Linked DNA regions of Struthio camelus. The protein of the gene in region 2 purifies or fractionates together with the protein of the main gene of each other region. This does not show direct contact. Links are inferred from orthologs where the notes say so. Each region holds a gene or a part of one and is shown on either strand. Other genes may lie near its edges.

Region 1 (9,601 bases), on a different chromosome or scaffold from region 2:
AAATTCCTCTTCTCAAAAGGACGGCATTTCTTAACACACTCCACCCGTCTGCTGTTGAAACACATCAATAGTGTCTTCATCTTCCATCTCCAGCTGTTAGATTAATATACAAAGTTGAAAACTTGAAATATACAGCTATATAGTTACAAAAGCACTCAGTTCTCTATTCTTAAACAGTGTCAATAATTAAGCAATTAGAGTGCCATTTTAACACTGTATGAAACCTTTTCCATCACTCACTCCAGAGAGGGCATCACCTCTTTAAGTCAGGAAAGCTAAGCACTTTTGGCAAACAGTCCAAGGCCACACTTCAGCCAGCTGCATGCAGAATATAATCCCATAACCTCCTCTGTCTTTATCAGAGTATCACCAAGACTGAGACAGGTTTTAGAAGCACACTTGTTGATGAGACCAAACTCAACAATTTAGCATCTTTTACAGCAAAGCTCCTCAGCCAAGTGTATTTCTTCTATTCTTGCTGCAGGCCTTGTCAATGCAAGAAATTCCCCAAGTTCTCAGCATTACCAGTGCTGACAGCAACAGCAGCCTTTAGGGGCAATAATTGCTCAAATCACGCTGAAGCAGAAGTAGGAAGACAGAGTCCCAGCACTACTCAGGTGCCGGCTATTTCAGCACCAATGCCGCCACCACCAGTAGTGAAAAGATTCAAAGGAAAAAATATGCCAGCCTAGAGCAACTATTTGGAATGTATTAAGCTTATGACAACAGTTTTGCAATCAAAATGACTCTGAAATACTTTGATCTATGCGCAGACAATCAAAACATTTTTATAGCAATCTGCAATAAAACTGAAGGTTTTTTGGTCATACCTGTGCAGGTGTGTCAGCTTCATTAATTGGTTGTCCATCAAATCTGAATCTAATCTGCCTCATTGACAAGCCCTGCAAGTTTACAGTAACAAAAATGTGGTGTCTCATTAATTGTTGAATCCAAACATAACATTTACTCACCTACTGTCAGATACTAACAAAATTAAGACTCAAAAGATTTAAATAGACAGGAAACTTACTCCTCTATCTTATTACACAAATTACGGAAGCAGAGCTATTTAGATAATAGTAGAGCTATTTAGATTGATTTCCCAAGGCAGCTATTGCCACAGCAAGGGCACTATATGAAATAACAGGTGTTTGTTTGGCACCTGGTTCGGATCTAAATTCTAGTACCCCCTGCTCTGCAAACTACAAATATCAAAAAGTCATTGACAAGCAAAAAAGCAACATTTAAGTTCAAGAACGGCAGAAAGGAAGAAAGAGTAAAGCGAAGGAAAAAAAAATATCAACAGGAAGTATATAGAAGAGATCAACCAGAACACAATTCTAGAAAGTCTCAAAAGACAGGACAGAAAAGAAGGACAATTGTTTCTTACACAGTCAGAGAAGTAACAGTATTTTAAGCTTATCTGACAGAAAATGCTGCCAAAAAACTGTAATAGCTACCTTTTTGGGCAACTAACTACCAACACTGACTACCCATATTTAAGTCGCAAGACTTTGATTCGTGCCAGGCATCCTCTCCCAACTCTAGTTCTTTAATCTTCTGATAAAGAAAAGGAAACATGAAGCAAAGATTGTCTGAGGGGAAAAAAATTTGCAGGCCTTTATGCAGATCTTTACTTAGAAAAGTCATTAGAAAAAACACCAGGGCTTTTAAGTGTTAGACTTAACTCAGTGGGTTAACGCTGCCTTTAAAATCTTCATTGAATTCACAAGGGAATCATGTTATGACAGCGTTGAATTACATGATACAGTCTTTATTCCCTGCCTCAGTGATCTACGTCTTTGTTTTGACCTCTAAAATCCTTTGAAAACCCTGTGCTACTCAGACATGTTTCCAATCACGCATACCACCATCGCACAGATGCAAAAATTCCTCATGCATCTCTCAAGATGATACTGTATGTAGCTCTTGTTCCCAACCTGAGTGGCATTTTGCTCCATCAAGCATGAGAGGGCAGAACATACAACTCAGGTGAGCAAAGAAAGGATCCCACATATATTAGATACGGCGATGCCTGCAAACAAAATTTCACTCCACTTCAGGAAGGGTAGGAACGCGAACGGCTTTCATTTTCTGTGCCACCTAATACGGTGTAGAAGTAGTTCAAACATTCAGAACTACAGACTCGAGAAGCAGGCTATCAGGGTAAATCACACTTCCATATAAATGGGGACAGCACCAAAGAATAGTCTCCTACACAAAGCAGCTTCCTGCCACCTGTAGAGTACAGCAATCAAAGCTGTGGAGCATGCAAGGGAAGGTAGGTGAAGGGAGGAGAAAAAAATTTGTAAACAAAAAACGTCACAGCATGTTACAATTTGTTTTCCTGCCATTTTCCAAACGGAAAATACATATACATACTGTATAAAGTCAATAAAGATTTTACAGATAATAAAACTGTGGGTTAGGAAGCTAAAGATTCCTACTCTCCCACAGAAAATCAGTCTGAGCTAAGATCGGAACTCAAGAAATTCTGACTCCTGGTATCGTCATGGGAAGATTTTAGAAATCCAGAAGCACACAGCGAGGAAGGGGCGACTTTCATCAACTCTAGCGTTAAAATCTTTTTTGTCGGTTAAGTTTAGGAGTCTGGACTTAGCATCCTAAATCTTTACTCTCTTGCGCTTCTGTACAAACAGGCATATTCACTCTCTGATGCATTGATGTTTATAATGTTCCAGAAAGAAAAACAGTGGAATTTCCATACTGCCAAGGGCTCTTCCTTATGAAATGATAAGAGTCCCAAGCAGCATGAAGAACCCTCTGCAGAACCGGACCATAACCTGCAAAAGCAGTGTTTGATGTACATACCTGCCTCTCGCAATAAGCCTTCATCAGCTTGCTTAAAGGTGTGTGCCTTTTTATTTTGAACTGGACCACAGAACCATCCTGGCCAGCAACTTTTAAATTGATGTGATCATTCTCTGTTTTCACTCCTTCCTGAACAAAAACAGACAAAAAGGCAGAACACAGTGAGCACTGCTTTGAATAAAAGTGATCTAAAGGCTCCATTACAAACAGTAACAAAGCTCTCAACCACCAGAAGCTTTTCTTCCTGTTTATAAAGGGAGGATGCTCTCCACAGCACACAGAGGGGGGGGGGGTTAAAAAAAAAAAAAAACCTGCACGGTTTTGCAGTCATCATTTCAGGTAATAGGGGAAAAGCAAAAAACTTCACGGAGCAAATCCCAGCACACCTACATACCTCTGTAGGTAACAGAGGTCATTTCTGTTACCTGGATGCCCCCTGAAAATGAACTGCAGAGACATGCAGCCGTACAAACTCCACTCACGTTCCCTTCACTTTTTCCCTGTTTACGAACTCTGCACGCTCCTAGCATTGCACAGATAAGAACGACCGTACTACCGAACAATTTTCCTCAGGAAAGCCCCCGATTTTGCAGTTTCCACTCAGCGGCGAAGTTCAAGGGACTTCCGCAGGACCCCACTTCCCCGCCCCCTCCCCCCGCTCAGCCCTCCATCTTGGCCCCCTCACGCCACCCCGGGTGTACGCGTGGGGGGACCGGTCACGGGGGCGGGGCGGGGCAGCGTCGCCCTCACCGGGACACCCTGCCCCGCCATCCTGGCAGCCCCCGCCGAAGAAGGCCTCCCCCCTCCGGCCGCCTCAGGCCTCGCCCGGCCGCGGCCCACCGGGACAGCGGAGGGGAAGCCAGGTCCGCCGCGCCTCACCTTGGGCTTCTCCTCCGACATGGCGGCGGGGACGGGACGGGACGGGACGGGACGGGACGGGGGGAAGGGAAGGGAGGGGAAGGCGGCGCGCGCGCGCCCGCGCGCTGAGGGGAACGGCCCGCGCGCTCGGCTCCCGCCGGCCGCCGCCGCCAACCGCCCGCGAGAGCGCGCGCACGCGCGCGCGCGCCCCACCTCACCCCCCCCCCACCCCCCGCCGCCGCCGCCGCCAGCAGCCCCGGGCGCCGATTGGCCGCCGCGCGGGGTCACGTGGGAGGCGATGGGCGCGCGCGCGCGCGCGCGCCGGGAGGACGCTGCCCCCTCGGCGGGCGGGGAGGGGGGAAGGCGGCGGCGCGCGCGCGCGCCCGGCCCGAGGCGGCTCTGGAAAGTGCGTCACGGGGCGCCGGAAGGGCGGGGCGGGCGCGGCTGGGCCGGTCGCGCCTCGGGGCCGCGCTGAGGCGGCGGAGGGGGGGGGGGGGGCGCCCCGCGGTGCCACACAGACGCGGTTTTGGAGTGGGCCGGAGCTCAGCCCCAGGCTTTGGGGGGGGGGGGGATCCCGCCTTGTGCCCTGCCCGCCCCGGAGGGCCGCAGGGCGGGCGGGTTCCCCCAGGGTCAGCGGGGATGGAAGGAGGAAGAGCATGCCCCGGCCCCGCAGCGGTTGTGTGCGCGGAGAAGGACCCTTTCCAGCCTCTCGGGCGGTGCCTGCTGTCCACAGCCCAGGTGACACGGAGCGGGGGGGAAGCGGCGCTGTTGGCCGGCCCCGCGCGTCACTGCTCACAGAGCTGGAGTTCACCTGCAGCCCAGATTTTATCTGGGTATTTTAATTACTTTCAGGAAGTCGGTTGTCCCTTCCAGTACCCACCTCTCCTATGAAAGAGCGCCCATCCCTTCCAGGGCAGCCCTTTGTTTGCCGGCCGCAGCTGCCCGCTCTGCCCTGCCCTGCCCCTCAGCCCGGCACCAGCTCCATCCTGCGCGTTTCCTGATGCGGGGCAGTCCTGTAGGCAGCAGTTGCACCACTGCACAGGTATGACCATCCCCTGGCTCAGAGCCAAGTTGCCCTTTGCACCCTTTTAATCTGTTCCTCCTCTGTTTCCCCCCCGCCCCCCCAACGCGTTCCCCAAGCGCACGTCATCCTTGGCCAGGCAGGCTGCGCTCAGCGAAGCGAGCTCTCACTCATCAGATACGCCGCTCACCAAACTGCTTTCCCCCTCTGCGCTGATGTCCCCCCCCAGCCCCAGAGCACGGCAAGCCCCACCAGCATGCAGAGGCCTCTCTGCAGGGACTCATTAATCCTCATGAAGGCTCCTTCCCAGACAGCTGGCTCCACTCTGCAGCCTCAACTTTGCATTCCCTATTTGTAAAGCACCACATTTAGGAGACGTTTTTTCCCCAGACAAACAGATCCCATTCTGCTAGTTCCCTCTCCTTTACAGAGGCAAAGGGGACCAAGAGGGGTGTTTTGTCTTCCAGTGGCTTTGAAGCCAAGAAGAGGGTTTTGGTTTTGCTTAGGAGCGCAAACTGACTGAAGCCTGCCCCGATCCCCTCCCCACATCCAGCTGACAATTCACATGCTCCTGCCAGGGCGGTTCCCGTACGGGCGTGCGTACAGGCAAATTTCCTCCTCCAGACCTGGGCAGGCGGCCCAGAGCAGCCCAGCTTCACCTCTTCACCTTCAACCATCTGAGTCAAAGGGGTTGCCAGCTTCTCAGCCTCATGTCAGCCATGTGATACATCCACACAGCAACAATCACAAGAACAAATCAAAAAATTAACTGGAGCTCCATCACAGGCTATTAGAGAGAGCGAGAGCGAGAGCACCTCTGAGTGAGAGGCTGGAGCCCAGAACAAGCACAGAGGATGCAGTGCTTCTGCCCAGCTGCAGTCAGACAGGACACTGATGACCAGAGCTCTCCTGGCAGGAGGTCAGGCCATCTGCTCGTCAACACATGTGAACTGTAGAAAGCAGTTATGCTTCATCCATGCAGGGAAGCGGCTCCCTGTGCAGGGCAGTTCCCTGTGCAGACAGGAGCAGACAAGGACAGAGCAGGTAATGATGCCTGGGTAGAGGACTCCATACCTGGAGGATCCCTGTAGCCAGGCTCCTCTCTCTAACCCGGCTGTTTTCAGAGGCACTACTGTTGGGTGCCAGGAATCAGGAGGGAGGGGGGCAGCATCAGTGGAAGCGCTCGGGTAGCCCAGAAGGCCCCACTTCACTGCAGATCAACAGGGATTATACTAGTCCCAGTCCTCAGGGGTCTCACCTGCCTCCCACCCACCCAACCCAGCAGGGACTGCTTGGCTCAGTGGGACGGGACACAGCCCATCACAACCTGTGAGAGGTAAAGGCAGGACGTATAAACCCTGGACTCAATACCTGCAGCGCTAACACAGCCCTACAGCTCAGCATCAGCTGCTTCCATATATTGCTCTTTACTAAAGAAAGCACCAACTGGACCCCTCTGTATGCTGGGGGACCAAAGCCTCTCCAGACCAGCATACCCAATTAAATACAAGTGACAACCAGGATCTTCATAACTGTTTCACTTGCCCTTGCCAGACCCCATGCTTAGGGTTTCCATGAGCATGAGACAGGTTGTACAAGGAGTTCTCAAATCAAGTGCAGGGCATGAGAGGATTTCTTAAGGCATTATTTCCCACACATGCACAGTTGGATACACTTTCCTGTCACCTCCTCCCTCCTCAGCTCTTAGAGGACTTATGGCTCTTGAACTCTCCCAAGCTTGGCCAAGATGAACTGAGCAAACAGGAGCCTTGCAGCCCCACCAAGGGCAAGACTGGGAAAACCGCCTGCATCACCCCCAGGACAGAGCAGCCATCAGCCATGGCACCCGCTGCCTCATACCCAGCCAATCCAATGGACTAGGACAGAACATGAAGAGAAAGCACCCGTAAGAGCGGGGCAACCCCAACTCTACTCTTTGTAGCCCTCCTTCTTCTGGTGCTGCTCTCTGAAGCCTAGTTCACAGTAACAAGAACTCAGCTCACATACCAAGATTCATTCAGCACTGGCCGAGTCATTCACGTACTGTTTCCATCATCTGAAGCAGAGTATCTTTTGGCAACAGACACAAAGACAGACTAGATTAAAAGTTACCTGCAAGTCTTACATCTTTGTCCAGTCCTGGCAAAAGCAAGTCAGATTCTTGCACCTACTGAAGAGCTCTGTGCAATCACAGCACAGCTCAGGAAAAGTATGGTTTCACGGATGGTTTAGTTTAACAAGTCCAGAGTTCAGCTCAAACTGTGTCCCGCAAGACCAGAGGGCCGTAAGTTCAGTAATTCAAATCAAGCATTTTAGGCAAGCCTCAGGAGAGAGGGGAGGATCTGAACATTTTCCCAGCTTACTCCAGCCAGCAGTGTGTTATGAGACACAGTTCAAGCTCTCTCAGAAAGACCTAACTCATTTCATAGCAAGCAGCTCATCCTCCCACCACCTGACTTTTCCAGGACACTCCTAACATACATCTGGAACCGACTGACTTCTAGTTTCAGACCCAGAGAACCAAGTCCAAGAAACTGGACTCTGTTACTGCACTCCATCAGCCAGCTTAGCAGGGCAAGACTGCCCTAGCCAGGGCAGTGTAACACAGTGAAGACTCTGTTGAATAGTTATCAGCAGCGTCTGCCAAGCTATACTTCACGTGGAAGCAGAATTAAATTCTTTCAGACTTGAGTAGTAATCAAATCAATTTAATACACAGCCAACATATTGCAATTGCATCCGAACCCTACAGTATTGCTATCGGCCTTGGCTGTCAGAAGCCCAAGAGAAGATCTGGAAAGGCACAGAGAGGTAGAAGAGTTGTAGAGTTTCCCCAGATTAGCTCTAAGTGAGAATGTGCAAGCGGGGTCTTCTCATGAAGGCCCAAGATAATCACAAGTTTGTGCTTTTTGAAAGGAACGCTAACGTGCACAGACAAGTACAGGCACTTGGAGTGACAGCTAAGGCCTTGTTCTGACCAACAGGTCAAGTAACCCTTGCTAGCTCTCACCTACACCAGGGGGAGGGAAGAGGGAGAGTCTCACTCAATGTGAGCAGATACTTAGTGAGGAAGGAGCAAGGAAGAAGCACAAGGTTGTTTCTGCCCTTGGCAGGGGACAAGGACAGTTATTTGCATTGTTTTGGACTAAATTAGCACCCCAGGGGTGAGTGAGAAGAAATATTCATGTGTTTAGTTCTCCAATATTGCCCCTGCACAAACAGAGCAAGTCTTCAGAGGGTACTCCAGACACTGCAATGGAAAAAAGAGCAAGGCTCATTTTCTCAGTTTGCTCTTACTACTACAGCAAAGCACTGGAGCAAACTGAGTATCCAGAGCGGGGATAACGGTGTCACTGAGCATTTGGTGCATCTTTTGTGGCAAGGGAAGCAGGAAGTGGCATCACAGTGATTTGCTTTTGGTAGGTGAAATCCAGAGTCCTTGTGGCTCTATGCAGGAGGGCACTGTTCATCTGTGCTGGGCAGATCAGGGGATGTTGTTAATTCTCAAATTTTGCATAAGGGTTCTCTTCCTTAAACAGGCCTAGAAGAGAAGAGAGATTCATTCAGACATCCAGGAGCTTACTAGGCGCTCCATTCCCATCAGCAGCAAGTCTAGTTCTTCCAGCACAAATAACAAAGAATTGTTATCATCTAACCTCCTGTCTTTTAAGGCTGCACGTACTGGTGCCCTTCTGAGAGGCCAAACCTGTTATTTGAGCTGTGAAGAGCTTTGCATGCAGTCAGCTGTATCCAACACATTTTGTTCTCCTTCTCTGCACAGCAGAGATCCATTAGGAAGTTCTGCCTGATGGCCAGCTCCTTTCATAGCAGTCCATGTAAAGCAGCACTACTGTTCTTTCAGAGAGTCCCTTCTGCATGCTCTATCTGTTGGACTGGACGTGGAAGCGAAAGGTCCAAACCCATCACAAGTCAAATTAAAGCCATTCTTAGAAGCAATTCCCCGCTCACATATTCCCACAGAATGGCAGAGAACAGAGCAAGGAACACAAGCCTGACTTTGAGCCACAGTAACAAACCTCTGTCACCAAGCCACTCTGCTGGCCGCTTTCCCAGCCCCGACACCTTTGAGGAAGAACACAGCCAGAAGGGGAGAGATTTCAGGATGCAAATTCTGCAGCCAGGCTGCAGCAAGACAAAGCCTTGGCATGGCAAGACAGCAGTGGAGCGTGGCTCTTCCATTTCCAAGTGTAGGTGTCTCTCCACGAAGTCCTCCTTCGGGTACAGCTTTGCCTGCTCTGCCTCACACCACAGAAGCCAGCCCAGTCAGAAACCCCTCTGCGTTCTTCTACCCAACCTGGCTCTGCAGCAGGCAGCAGTTAGAGATGGAGAAAGGGTTTCTAGCTTTCCCCTGCAGGCCCCCCGCCCCTGAAGTCAGAGACCACTACACTCTCTGTGCATGAGTCAAGACTACTCTGCACTCAGCAGCCACACATGCAACACACTGGGAGGGCACTTGGCAGCTCTCTAGTGAACAGGCCCAGACGGCCAGGCAGTAGAGATACTTCCATCGGCTCTGGAGCAATGCCTGAAGGATAGTGCAACCCCATAAGTCTATGTAGTCCCCCGAAACTCAGGGTGGACTAAGCTACCTTCATAGGAATTCTCTGCTTGCACAGGAGACTTACTCTCTAAATGCAGAAGGCCAGGCTCTTGCCTAACCCTGCTTTGCGTTAGGGTTGTAGGACACCACAAGCTCCCATCTATCCCCCTCCCCCCACCCATGCTGTTGGCTCCCCTACTTCTGCGGTCCTGTGATCACCCAGCAAGGCCACTCTTGAAGGAGAGCAGCTTATGGCTACTGCTACATGTACCAGCTTCTGCTTTTCCTCTCCTGTCACACCCACCAGTTTCTCTCATTCAGCATCTTAA
Region 2 (9,691 bases):
ATCACACAGGGCAGCAACACCCACAGGAGAATTACAGCAGATACATTGTAAATGGGAACTCACATAGCTGAAAAGGGACAGCTAACCAGTGCTATCCTTGCAGCAGGAGTGTTAAAAGGCTCATTGCAAGATAACCAGAGAAAAGTCTCATTAGGAGGAAGGATCCAGGGATAGGACCACTGCCTTCTCCAGGAAGGAAGGGCAGATTTGAGGTTTTTAAGATGGGACCATTCCAGCAGATACTATTGCACAGTGACCGCTTGGATCCCTCCTTACGTGTTCTCCCTTCATAACCCTTCAACTGCACCAAGTATTCATCTCTGCTTCAAGAACAACAGAGGTCTCCACGTCCGCTTTTCAGAGGAACAGGCAGGACAAACAGCAGGCAGCACCCTCACATTTTTTGCACTCCTTGCTCCCAGGCCGATTCTCAGACCTTGCAGATCACTTCGCCCGCTCCTGAGCTCAGAGCTCCCTCTTGTGCCCGAGGAGACACCAAGCTACCACAGCGGGCACCACGGCTGCAGCAGTCCGGCACTGCGACCTAGCGGCTGCACTCACTGGAAAAACAAGCAGCCGCAACTGAGGCTCCTGCACAACCCCCCCCCCCCCGGCTCTGTCTGGCCCTGGAGCAGCCAGTACTGCCACAAACTCGCACCAGAAACACTATGCATACAAAATCCCTCAAATGCTCATCCCTCAAACCCTGCTGAAGGCTCCCTGAGCACCTTACACATCCTTGCCTGCGCCTCTTCCAAACGCAGAGGAGGGTTTCGTACGCTGTGCGGCACCTACCAATTTCAGTCATCCCTGGGCCTCCCATCTCCTGTGACAGCAGAGTGAACTGCAGGGCACAAGGCTCTGGACCACGAATAGAAACCTGCTGCACATTTGACAGAGGCAGACTAAACGCTCAACCACAGACTCTATTTAGAGGCCCGGGTTCCATGCGATCCGAGGCACGATCCGAGGCACGAGCGGAGCCCTAGCTGCTTTTCACACACTGTTACAGTCTGTTAAACACCTGCAAAGCCCTAGATAAACACAGAAAGGGGCTGTTCAGACCAAGATAGAGGGGAGAGGCCTGGGTGGAGACCTGCTAGAGAAAGGCCACACACTCCCAGAAATAAGCGCGAGACTATGAGAACAGGCTTCTCAGATCAGGGTACACAGCCACATGTCTGCAGGCAAGATAGCAGGGGAGAAACTGGGGAGCCTGCAGCTCAGCCCTCAGCTTGACAGAGTGCAGATGAGTACAGTCTGCTTATGCCTCTCTCAAATTTAATTCCATGCTTGTCATAAGGAGGCGCACCAATGACTAAAAGTGCACGGGTATGGGATTTCTCTCTACAGACACTACATGCCCCCTATACCCCCTCCCCAAAGACATACACATACACACACCCCCACCACAAAACCCCTACTCCAGTAAGCAATGAAGAAGTCCTCGAGCTCAGACACCCTACCCCCTCCACACACCTACCAGTCCCCAGTAGGCTTTGGGAGCTTTGCTAACCATCCCCTCACCCCCCACTGGCCAGCACTGCAGCCACAAGGAAGAGAGAAGCCTGAAGCTCCCACCTGCTGATGGTCCAGCATGGTCAGGCCTTTGACACCTGCCAGGATGAGATTCTTTGCCACTTCTGCTCCAAGGCCTTTCATCCCCACCAGCAACACCCGGGAAGCTCGTAACCTGCAGTGGAAACACTTGGTCACCGTTAACGGCTTCACTGGAGCACCACGTCCCCAGGGAGAAGGGGAATCAACCACAGTGCTCACGGACAAAACACAACAGGGTGAAAAATACATTCAATGACCAAAGAGGAAAGCTGCGCTAGTAAAGTAGCATCCCTGCCACCAGGGATGGAACCACTGCCTCCGAAATCACCATCACCTCCCAGTTGGGAAAACTTAACTAAGGAGGCAGATATGCATGCTGGGCATTCACAGAAGTCCTGAACCGTGGGGAAAGTTGAGCTACAGCCAAATATTCACTTGGCCCAGGCAAAATGGGAGAAGCCCAGGATCATTACAGGAGAGCCAAACATGTCTGGCAGGACCTGAAAGTTTCACAGCAGCATCAGGGAAAAGAGTAGAGGTATAGATTTAACCACGATACCTGATACGGAAGAAAAGGAAGAGAGATGGGAGCTGTTGGGCGTCAGTAATCCAGATAATTCACAGAAAATAGATTATTTGCAGCTTTGAAAGAGAGACTAAAATCAGTATGCACTGATAAGGCCTCGTATTGCTTTTCAGAGAACAAGGGGTGGACTCACAGGTTCACTACAACACCACAGTTTGAGGTTCCTAATAGCAAATTCTAATAGTCCAGCTGAGGCCTGGACCTCAACCTCACCCACTGAAGGTGCACTGGGTTACATGCCAACTGATTGGGATATATATAAAATTAATAGCATGATATAATTAATGGAAATTATTTCTTTGCAAATATTTATTATGAGACCAAGTTAATGTATGCAATTTCTAAGTTCTCAGAATAGCTGAATGCTGACTTTCCTTGCTTTTTAAAATCAATTTAAATAATTTTTTCCTTAGCATTCTTTTGATTGACTAGGTTGCATTGTTTTTCTAACAAAATCAAGTTTATTTAGACTACCTTAATAAGTAATCATCCAGAGTGTTAAATAGAGTGGCTCTATCATGTAGGTCAGTTAAGTCAGGAGGTCACTGATGGGTGCTTTTTGGCCTCACGGTCTATTTCCATGCTTGCTTTCACTCTGCATCTAGCAGCACCATTATATTTGTGCCCCTATTTCAGGTCCGCTCCATCTTCTCCCATACACATACTATTGCTATTTTCAAGGTAACATCTAAGAAATTTAAAGCTGGCAGAAACCTGGACAGGCTGCAGTAAAGGGCTGCAAAGATAACTTGAAAGCTGAAGAGGCCTCACAGAGAAGATATGGGCTGAATAAGAGGCTCTTTAGCAGAGAACCAGCAGGTGGAAGCAGATGCTCGGCAATCCCAGCTGGGAATGAATGAGAAGACTTTAACAATAGAAACTAAGTAGTGGATCAGACTCTCTTGTAGATACGGTCAATATTTTTGTTATCTTCAACCTAAGGAGGCACGATTTTCACCAAACGTGCATTATCACTGGGCTCCAGTTTGGGTAAGATTTTCCAGCCTGAACTGTGCAGGAACTGTGAGGAACTAGGGACACACAAAGGGGTACAGCTTACAGCTCTCACCAGCCTGCTGCACAGCGACTGTGTGTGGCTGGAGAACCAAGCAGTCTCCCAGGCAGCTGCTAGCCAGGGCTCCCACATCTCTGTCAACACTGTCCTACATGTGTGATGCGTGCACAAGCAGGGCAACTGCCCAGGATTTCCACAGACGAGGTTTAAAACTTCTCTCAGGGTGCCAGCAGCAGCACAAAGATCGACATCTCACGCCGGGCCACCACAGGGTTTTTCTCCTGCCCTTCTGCCACCATCTCCCTGAGCACCTCCTCCCACTTTCCCACCCCGTATGCTACCCTGCCACCCCCTGCAACACCAGCCACTGCCTCCCAAACTGGCAGCTTCCTTCCTGGGGCCCCCATTTCCCCAAACCCCTCTCCCAGGTGCCCCAAGCCTTGCCTCCCCCATCTCCTACTGTCCCAACCCCATCTCCTCCTTCTTCAGCTCCCCAGAGCCCTGAGACTTCTAGAGACCTTCTAGACCTCCACAGGCTCCTATAGACCTCGCATGCCCCCATACACACCACCAGCTATACAGACCCTTCTCAAGCCCCTGCAAACCTCCTGCAGATACCCCACAGTAACTGCGGTCACTGCATTAGGGTCCCCCCCAAGCCCCTACAGGCCCCTACCACACACTGTGAGGACCACTTAACCCATACAAGCCCCCCCAAGCCACTACAGGGCCTCCTCAAACACTGTAGAGTCCCCCAAACCCCTGCAGAGCCCCCCCAAATACTGCAAGGCCCCCATCAACCCACGCAGGGCCCCCCAAACCGCTGTAGAGCCCCCAAACCCCCACAGAGCCTCCCAAAATGCTGCAGGGGCCTCCAAAACGCTGTAGCCCCCCCAAACCCATTCAGCGCCCCTCCAAATCAATACAGCCCCCCCAAATGCCGCCGCCCCCCCCCAAGCGCTGAGGGACCCCCGACACCTACAAGGGCCCCCCCGCCCGCAGGCCCCTACAGCCTCCCCCGAGCCGCCCCCCGCCTCGCTGACCGCTTCTGGGCCTCGAGCCCCCAGAGCCGGATCTGCCGGTCATACTGCGCCGCCTCCTCCTCGCTGATGCCGCCGGGGCCGCCCTCCTCCTTCTCCACCATCCCGCCGCCGCCGCCTCACGGCCGCCGCGCCCGGGCGGCGCCCCCTGGCGGCCCGCGCGGGCGCTGCGCGGCGCCCGGCACCGCGGCGCGCCGGGAGGGGAGGGGGGGAAGCGCCCCGGGCCGAGCGGCCCCCGCCGCCCCGCGCCCCGCCCGTATCCCCCCCCGCCAGAGAGCCGCTCCGAGGGCTCGTCCCGCCTCAGCGGCCCCCTGCGCGGGGGGGGCGGCCGCCGCGCTCGGCCTCGGCGCCGCCTCTCGCGCGCTCACTCGCGCAGCTCCCCCCCCTCCCGCCGCGGTGCACTTGGTTCTGCCCGACCTCTTCGGCACTTTCCGCCAGCGCTCGGCTGCGTTCGGAAAGTTCCGCCTCCTCCCGCTGCCCCTCGGCGCTTCGGCTCGGCCGCTTCCGCCATCCTTCGGCAACCTCCGGCTGCTTCCGCGTCCGGCCGTGCGTGCCGCGGCGAAGGGGGAGGGGGGAGGGCGTTCGGCGGCGCTCGGGCCTTTCCGGCGGCGCTCGGGCCTTTCCGGCGGCCGTGTGGGGCGCTGCCTCGGCGCGGCTGCGTGCCGGCGGGCGCCATTTTGTGTGCCTTCCCGTGGAGTGCGGGGCAGGCGGAAAGCCGGGCCGTGCCGACCCCCGCTCTGTACAGTGACTGTGCCCCGTGTGCTCCCCCCTCTCCCCCCCCGCCCATGGCCGTGGAGAGCCCGAGTGTCCCCCCCGCCGCCGCCGCCTCCCCCCCCAGCCCGCACTCCACCCCCCCATCTCCGTCCTGCCACCACCACGACAGCGGCAGCTGCAGCCTCCCCCGGCCGCCGCCGCCGCTCCAACTCCACCACGGCCCGGACGAAAGGTCCAGTAACCGCCTCTCCCGAGAGCCTCTCTGTCTGTCTGTGTCTGTCTGTCCGGCTCGCCGGACCAGGTTTGGGGGGGGGCGGGCAGGGACGGGCCGCGGGCGACCGGGAGGAGGTGGGGGGCCAGCCGGGGCGGGGGGGTCCTCGGGGCCCGAGAGCCACCGGCCCGGGCGGGGGGACAGGGTCTGAGGTGAGCGGGGGAGCCAGGGCTTAGCGGGGTGCAGGCCCGAGGCGGGCAGGGGGGTAGGCCCGGCCGGGGGGCGCAGGGCTGGGGGCGAGAGTGTGCAGGAGCGCTCGGGGGGTCCCCAGGGCCCGGGCCGAGGAGGAGGAGAGGGGCGAGAGCGAGGGCTGGGGCCAGGCAGCGAGCTGGGGGGGGGGGGAGCGCAGCGCTGGGAACAGCCGGGGGACTTGGGGGGGTGGTGGCAGGGCCTAGGAACAGCCGGGGGTCTGGGCGGGGGGGGGCAGGGCCTGGGAACAGCGAAGGGGCCGGGGGGGAGAGGATCTGGGAAGAGCCAGGGGGTTTGGGGGGGGGGAGCGGGTCTGGGAAGAGCCAGGCGGCCGGGGGGAGGGGGCCGAGGCTGGGAAGAGCCAGGGGAAGGGGCTCAGGCAGGGGCCCGGTGGGGGCGCGGGGCCGGGGGCAGCGCAGGGCCGGGGGGCCCCAGGCAGCGGGGCGTGATGAGGGAGCAGGCCAGGGGCTGGTGGGCAGCAGGCCCAGTTGGGGCTGAGGGCCGGAGCAGGGAGCCTGGGCTGGGGGTGGCTGCGAGGGGATGGGTCCCCACTTGCTGGGCAGGGTCAGGGGAAGGCTTTCTGGGGTCCTTAATGAGGTCTTTAATGACGTTATTCTCTTGGGCAGCACTGGCCTCATTAATGTCCCCTTTGTCTTCAGCTGCTTCTTAAAATTTCCTGGCTATGCTGGGGCATTAGGGAGTGCGGCCTGGGCAGAAAGGCGCTGGGGTTGCAATGTGGAGCTTTCTAGGCACTGGCATGGTATGGGATGTGTTGAGTAGTGATACCCTTGTTTGCCCTCCCTCGTCCCCTTTATATAGAAAGACTCACTTCCACAGCTGGAATCTCAAGTGGTCCCATTATGTCAAGGTATTGAAAAGTTTAAAATCCCCCAGGAAACCCTCTTTCCTCTTTTCCTCAGAGATGTATGTAAAGCACCTTCTCCCTCCCCCCAAAACATAACTTCAGCTGTTTCCTTTATTAGACTTTATTAGCACTTTTTTATTGGAAACCCTATAGCCAGAAAGTATTGTGTAGTGCACAAAAATAAACAGCTTAATCATATATGTTTGTCTGAAAAAAAAAGAGAGGTTTGCCCCCTTCCCACTCCCCTGGAAGGCAGGTGTGCGGTACAGAGAGCTGCTTTTATACATTAGCATGCCTTTGTCTCTAAGGAGTTTTGTTTTTCCTATGATGCAGGGTTGGGTTGGTAAGTATTCTCTTTTATTGAATAATTAAATTATACCTTTTTGTTTCTTTCCCCCGCACCAAAAAACGTCCTGAGATCATCTTTAGGATACGTTTCATGTAAGGAATGAGTTAATACAATGTGTGTACAAACCAAGCAGAATTCTCCCCCTTTGTAATGACTTGACTGATATAGAGTTGTGCACCCTGCCAGTGTGAGTGTTTAAAAAAAAAGTCACAAAAGCACACAATTTACTCCAAAATATGTCTGTTGTGACGTTTCCTGGTGAAGTAGCACTGAGATACCTCAGTAAAAGTCATACCACTCTGACCCTTGGTGCCATCTAGACATAGGATGTGGATCCATTACTTTGTCTACAAACTCCATCCTCATTCCATTACGTTGACAGTAAACAGGCTACCCCTGGGTGCAGGTCTGCCCATAAAACAGAAAAGTTGTTAAAAAGTTTTGTTAACAAACTCAGAAGTGTGTAAAAAAAAAAAAAAGGTGGCAAAGAAAGCACTGTTTCCCAAATGTCATCACACATTTTTCCCCCATCCCCATGTACAGTTTCATATTTGATAATTAGAGAAGTTTAAGCAGGACAAATAGCAACGTACAGTGTAAGCACCCAGTTTGTAAGAATCTCTTTAGTGTCCTGGATTTTCTTCTACTTTTCTTTTTGTTATTCCTTTGTTAAGCAGGTGTGTTATGAAAAGTTCTTACAAGTTTGTTCCTCACGGTTCTTTACATGATTCAAAATATAAGTAAGAACACCATGCACAGTATTTGGTATTTTCTCCCCTCAGCATATTATTTTTGACTCTTAGGTTATTCTTTCATGTAGAGCAAAAACACACACTTTTGCCCTGGAGTATTTCATCCAGTTTACATTTTCACGGGTGGAAGAAGCGATGTTAGTTTCCTGTAAGCACACAAACACAGTTGTGTGAATTTGTACTGTTTTGTTTCCCTCTTGTTTTTAATTCATTCACTAAAAAAAAAAAAAGTGTATACATCTGCTTAAAACCTTGACTATGAAATAATGCAAGCACTCGTTATAGAAAATAAGTAGAGGACTTTTTGTTACAAATTTTATTGTGTTTTAGAAAGGGGTTTTCATGCTGCAGTAAACATAAAACAATATCCAGTGATGTCTTTTAGTTTTATGCCTTTCTGTTACTATTTTAAGTGTTTATAGTGGGACCTTTCTCCCTTATGATCCACTGATCCACCTTCTACAGCTTAACTTTGCCATGAAGTCATAAAGCTTGACATTTTTTTTTCCTTTCATCAAAGGTCCACCGTCAGAGCTTGAAAATATTACTGGCCTGGCCAAAAAGTTTTTAGCTCTGGTAGTTCAGAAAGAGTGGGGCCTCATAGCATGGATTTTTCCCTAATGCATTCAATTAGTAGCTTTATTCTGCTAAACCTCTAAATTATTTTACTAAATGTACATACATGCTGTGCTTTATACTTCCACTCTTGATACGATCAAAATCCCAAATGGTTTTTCACTGTCAGCTGCTGATTAGTGTCATAAGCAATTTTTATGCATGTCAGGATGAGTTGGAAAGGGCAGATGAAATAGAAAAAAAGTAGGCTGTTGGAAAATTTTAGGTTAGTTTTCTGCTTTTTGAGGGAGTGTAGTATAACTGTATGAAAGACCCAGGAACTGCTCTAATGTCAGAAGTGCTAAGGGACTGTACTTCCAAGTTTAGAGGAATGGCTAAGCAATTTCATAAAGTGAATATACGTTTTTATTATATAGTTAAATATTAGCAAGAGGAGTCAAATCTCTAAACTTGGTTGGGGTTTCTTTTTCTAGTATCTTGCTACTCTTGTCCCTTTTTTAGTTAGGCAGAACCATTTTTAGTACTCCAGATTTGCTAGCGATTACCTTTTTAATCACGCAAAAATAGAGGCATGTATTTAACATTAGTACTGTGAACAGTTCCGTGGAGACCAGAGCATCTTTTGGTAGTAAAGTTAAGCGCATGCCAGAATTTTTTCAGGGGCATTTTTTAAATCTGTAATTGTTCAGCTGCAATCGGAAGACCTAGAGAGGTCAGTGTGAGGGTTCTCATCTGTGCTGAGCCAGGTATTGCCCTCTGCCTTGCTCCTTTGGTAGCCAGGCTTTGTTGTGCTAGTTAAAGAATGGCTAAAGCAAACCCCAGACCAAGTGTCTTTTTCAGTACCTTTGACATATCCGTTTCTGTGACATCAGCCTTGCAGTGGCAGTGAAAAGGACGTCACAGCTCAGCCTTACGATTTCACTGAAGGATCCAAAAGTAGGAATGGGAAGGAGCCAACTTCCAAACAAAAATGGCATTAATAATTAGCAGTTGAGTCAAGCACATTCCCAAATAAATCTTGAGTTGTGATTAAATAGCTGCTTGAAACTTTCCTTTAGTATAAATGTCTCTCAAAAAACGTGGGCTTTTTAGGGGCATAAAAGTAGAATTTGCCTTGATTGCAGACTAGAAGTGTCCGTGTCAGAAGTTATTTCAGGTTTAAGCGGCCTAGAAGGATGTCTCTCAAAGCTTCCTTTCTAGTGAATTGATAGAACATATTTGTTATACATGTCCCATAATGAAAGAACACTGAGTAGAAGATAGCTTTAAAAAAGGCTGATAAATTGTAATGATTTCTGCCCCAGTCCAAACAGTCTGTATATAACACAGTATGCCTCATTCTGGAGGCCTTGCTATCTTAAAAGTGGTTGTTCTTTTATTTCTTGGTGGATGTATTTTTCCCTGATTTCCACTTGAAATAAAATTTGAGATGGCCACACTGATGGAGCAAAGAAGAGGTTCAGCTTAGTTCCAATTCCTTTGGGGTTATTCTGGAATGTGTCAGTGTTTTGGTGAAAGAAGAGCTCTATCTCTGGACAGTTTTCTGTAGGTGAGGCTTAGGAGCGTGCAGGTGTGATGCTTTCTTTGGTAGAACGTGTTCTGTCTTAGCAAAGGAAGTTAGTGGGGGAGTACAGTTCTGGTATCTGCAAATGCTAAGCCGTTTTTGAAGCATTACGTGTGTGATTAATGACATTTAGCTGGAAGTGTAGGTTACTTTGAAAATCCTAGCCTTGTGTGCTCCAGTGAGGAGGGCCTCTGACAGCCTTAAATCAGA

The links. The genes of interacting proteins can lie anywhere in the genome.
Region 1: the proteins of SAE1 (region 2) and SUMO3 purify together in Homo sapiens (affinity purification with mass spectrometry; 3 studies listed by BioGRID and IntAct, with this or other methods). This does not show direct contact. The link is inferred for Struthio camelus from reciprocal best matches to the Homo sapiens genes SAE1 and SUMO3.

The regions. Positions count from the first base shown.
Region 1 is NC_090950.1:3,427,640-3,437,240, forward strand, and holds the start of SUMO3 (small ubiquitin-related modifier 3), read right to left. Parts: upstream 3,906-9,601; 5' UTR 3,733-3,905; coding exon 3,712-3,732; intron 2,962-3,711; coding exon 2,833-2,961; intron 903-2,832; coding exon 831-902; intron 94-830; coding exon 31-93; 3' UTR 1-30. Other genes in the region: PTTG1IP (pituitary tumor-transforming gene 1 protein-interacting protein), read right to left, coding at 8,209-8,252. UniProt on the Homo sapiens protein: Ubiquitin-like protein which can be covalently attached to target lysines either as a monomer or as a lysine-linked polymer. Does not seem to be involved in protein degradation and may function as an antagonist of ubiquitin in the degradation process.
Region 2 is NC_090957.1:305,587-315,277, forward strand, and holds the start of SAE1 (SUMO-activating enzyme subunit 1), read right to left. Parts: upstream 4,378-9,691; 5' UTR 4,306-4,377; coding exon 4,205-4,305; intron 1,694-4,204; coding exon 1,582-1,693; intron 1-1,581. Other genes in the region: ZC3H4 (zinc finger CCCH domain-containing protein 4), read left to right, coding at 4,987-5,147. UniProt on the Homo sapiens protein: The heterodimer acts as an E1 ligase for SUMO1, SUMO2, SUMO3, and probably SUMO4. It mediates ATP-dependent activation of SUMO proteins followed by formation of a thioester bond between a SUMO protein and a conserved active site cysteine residue on UBA2/SAE2.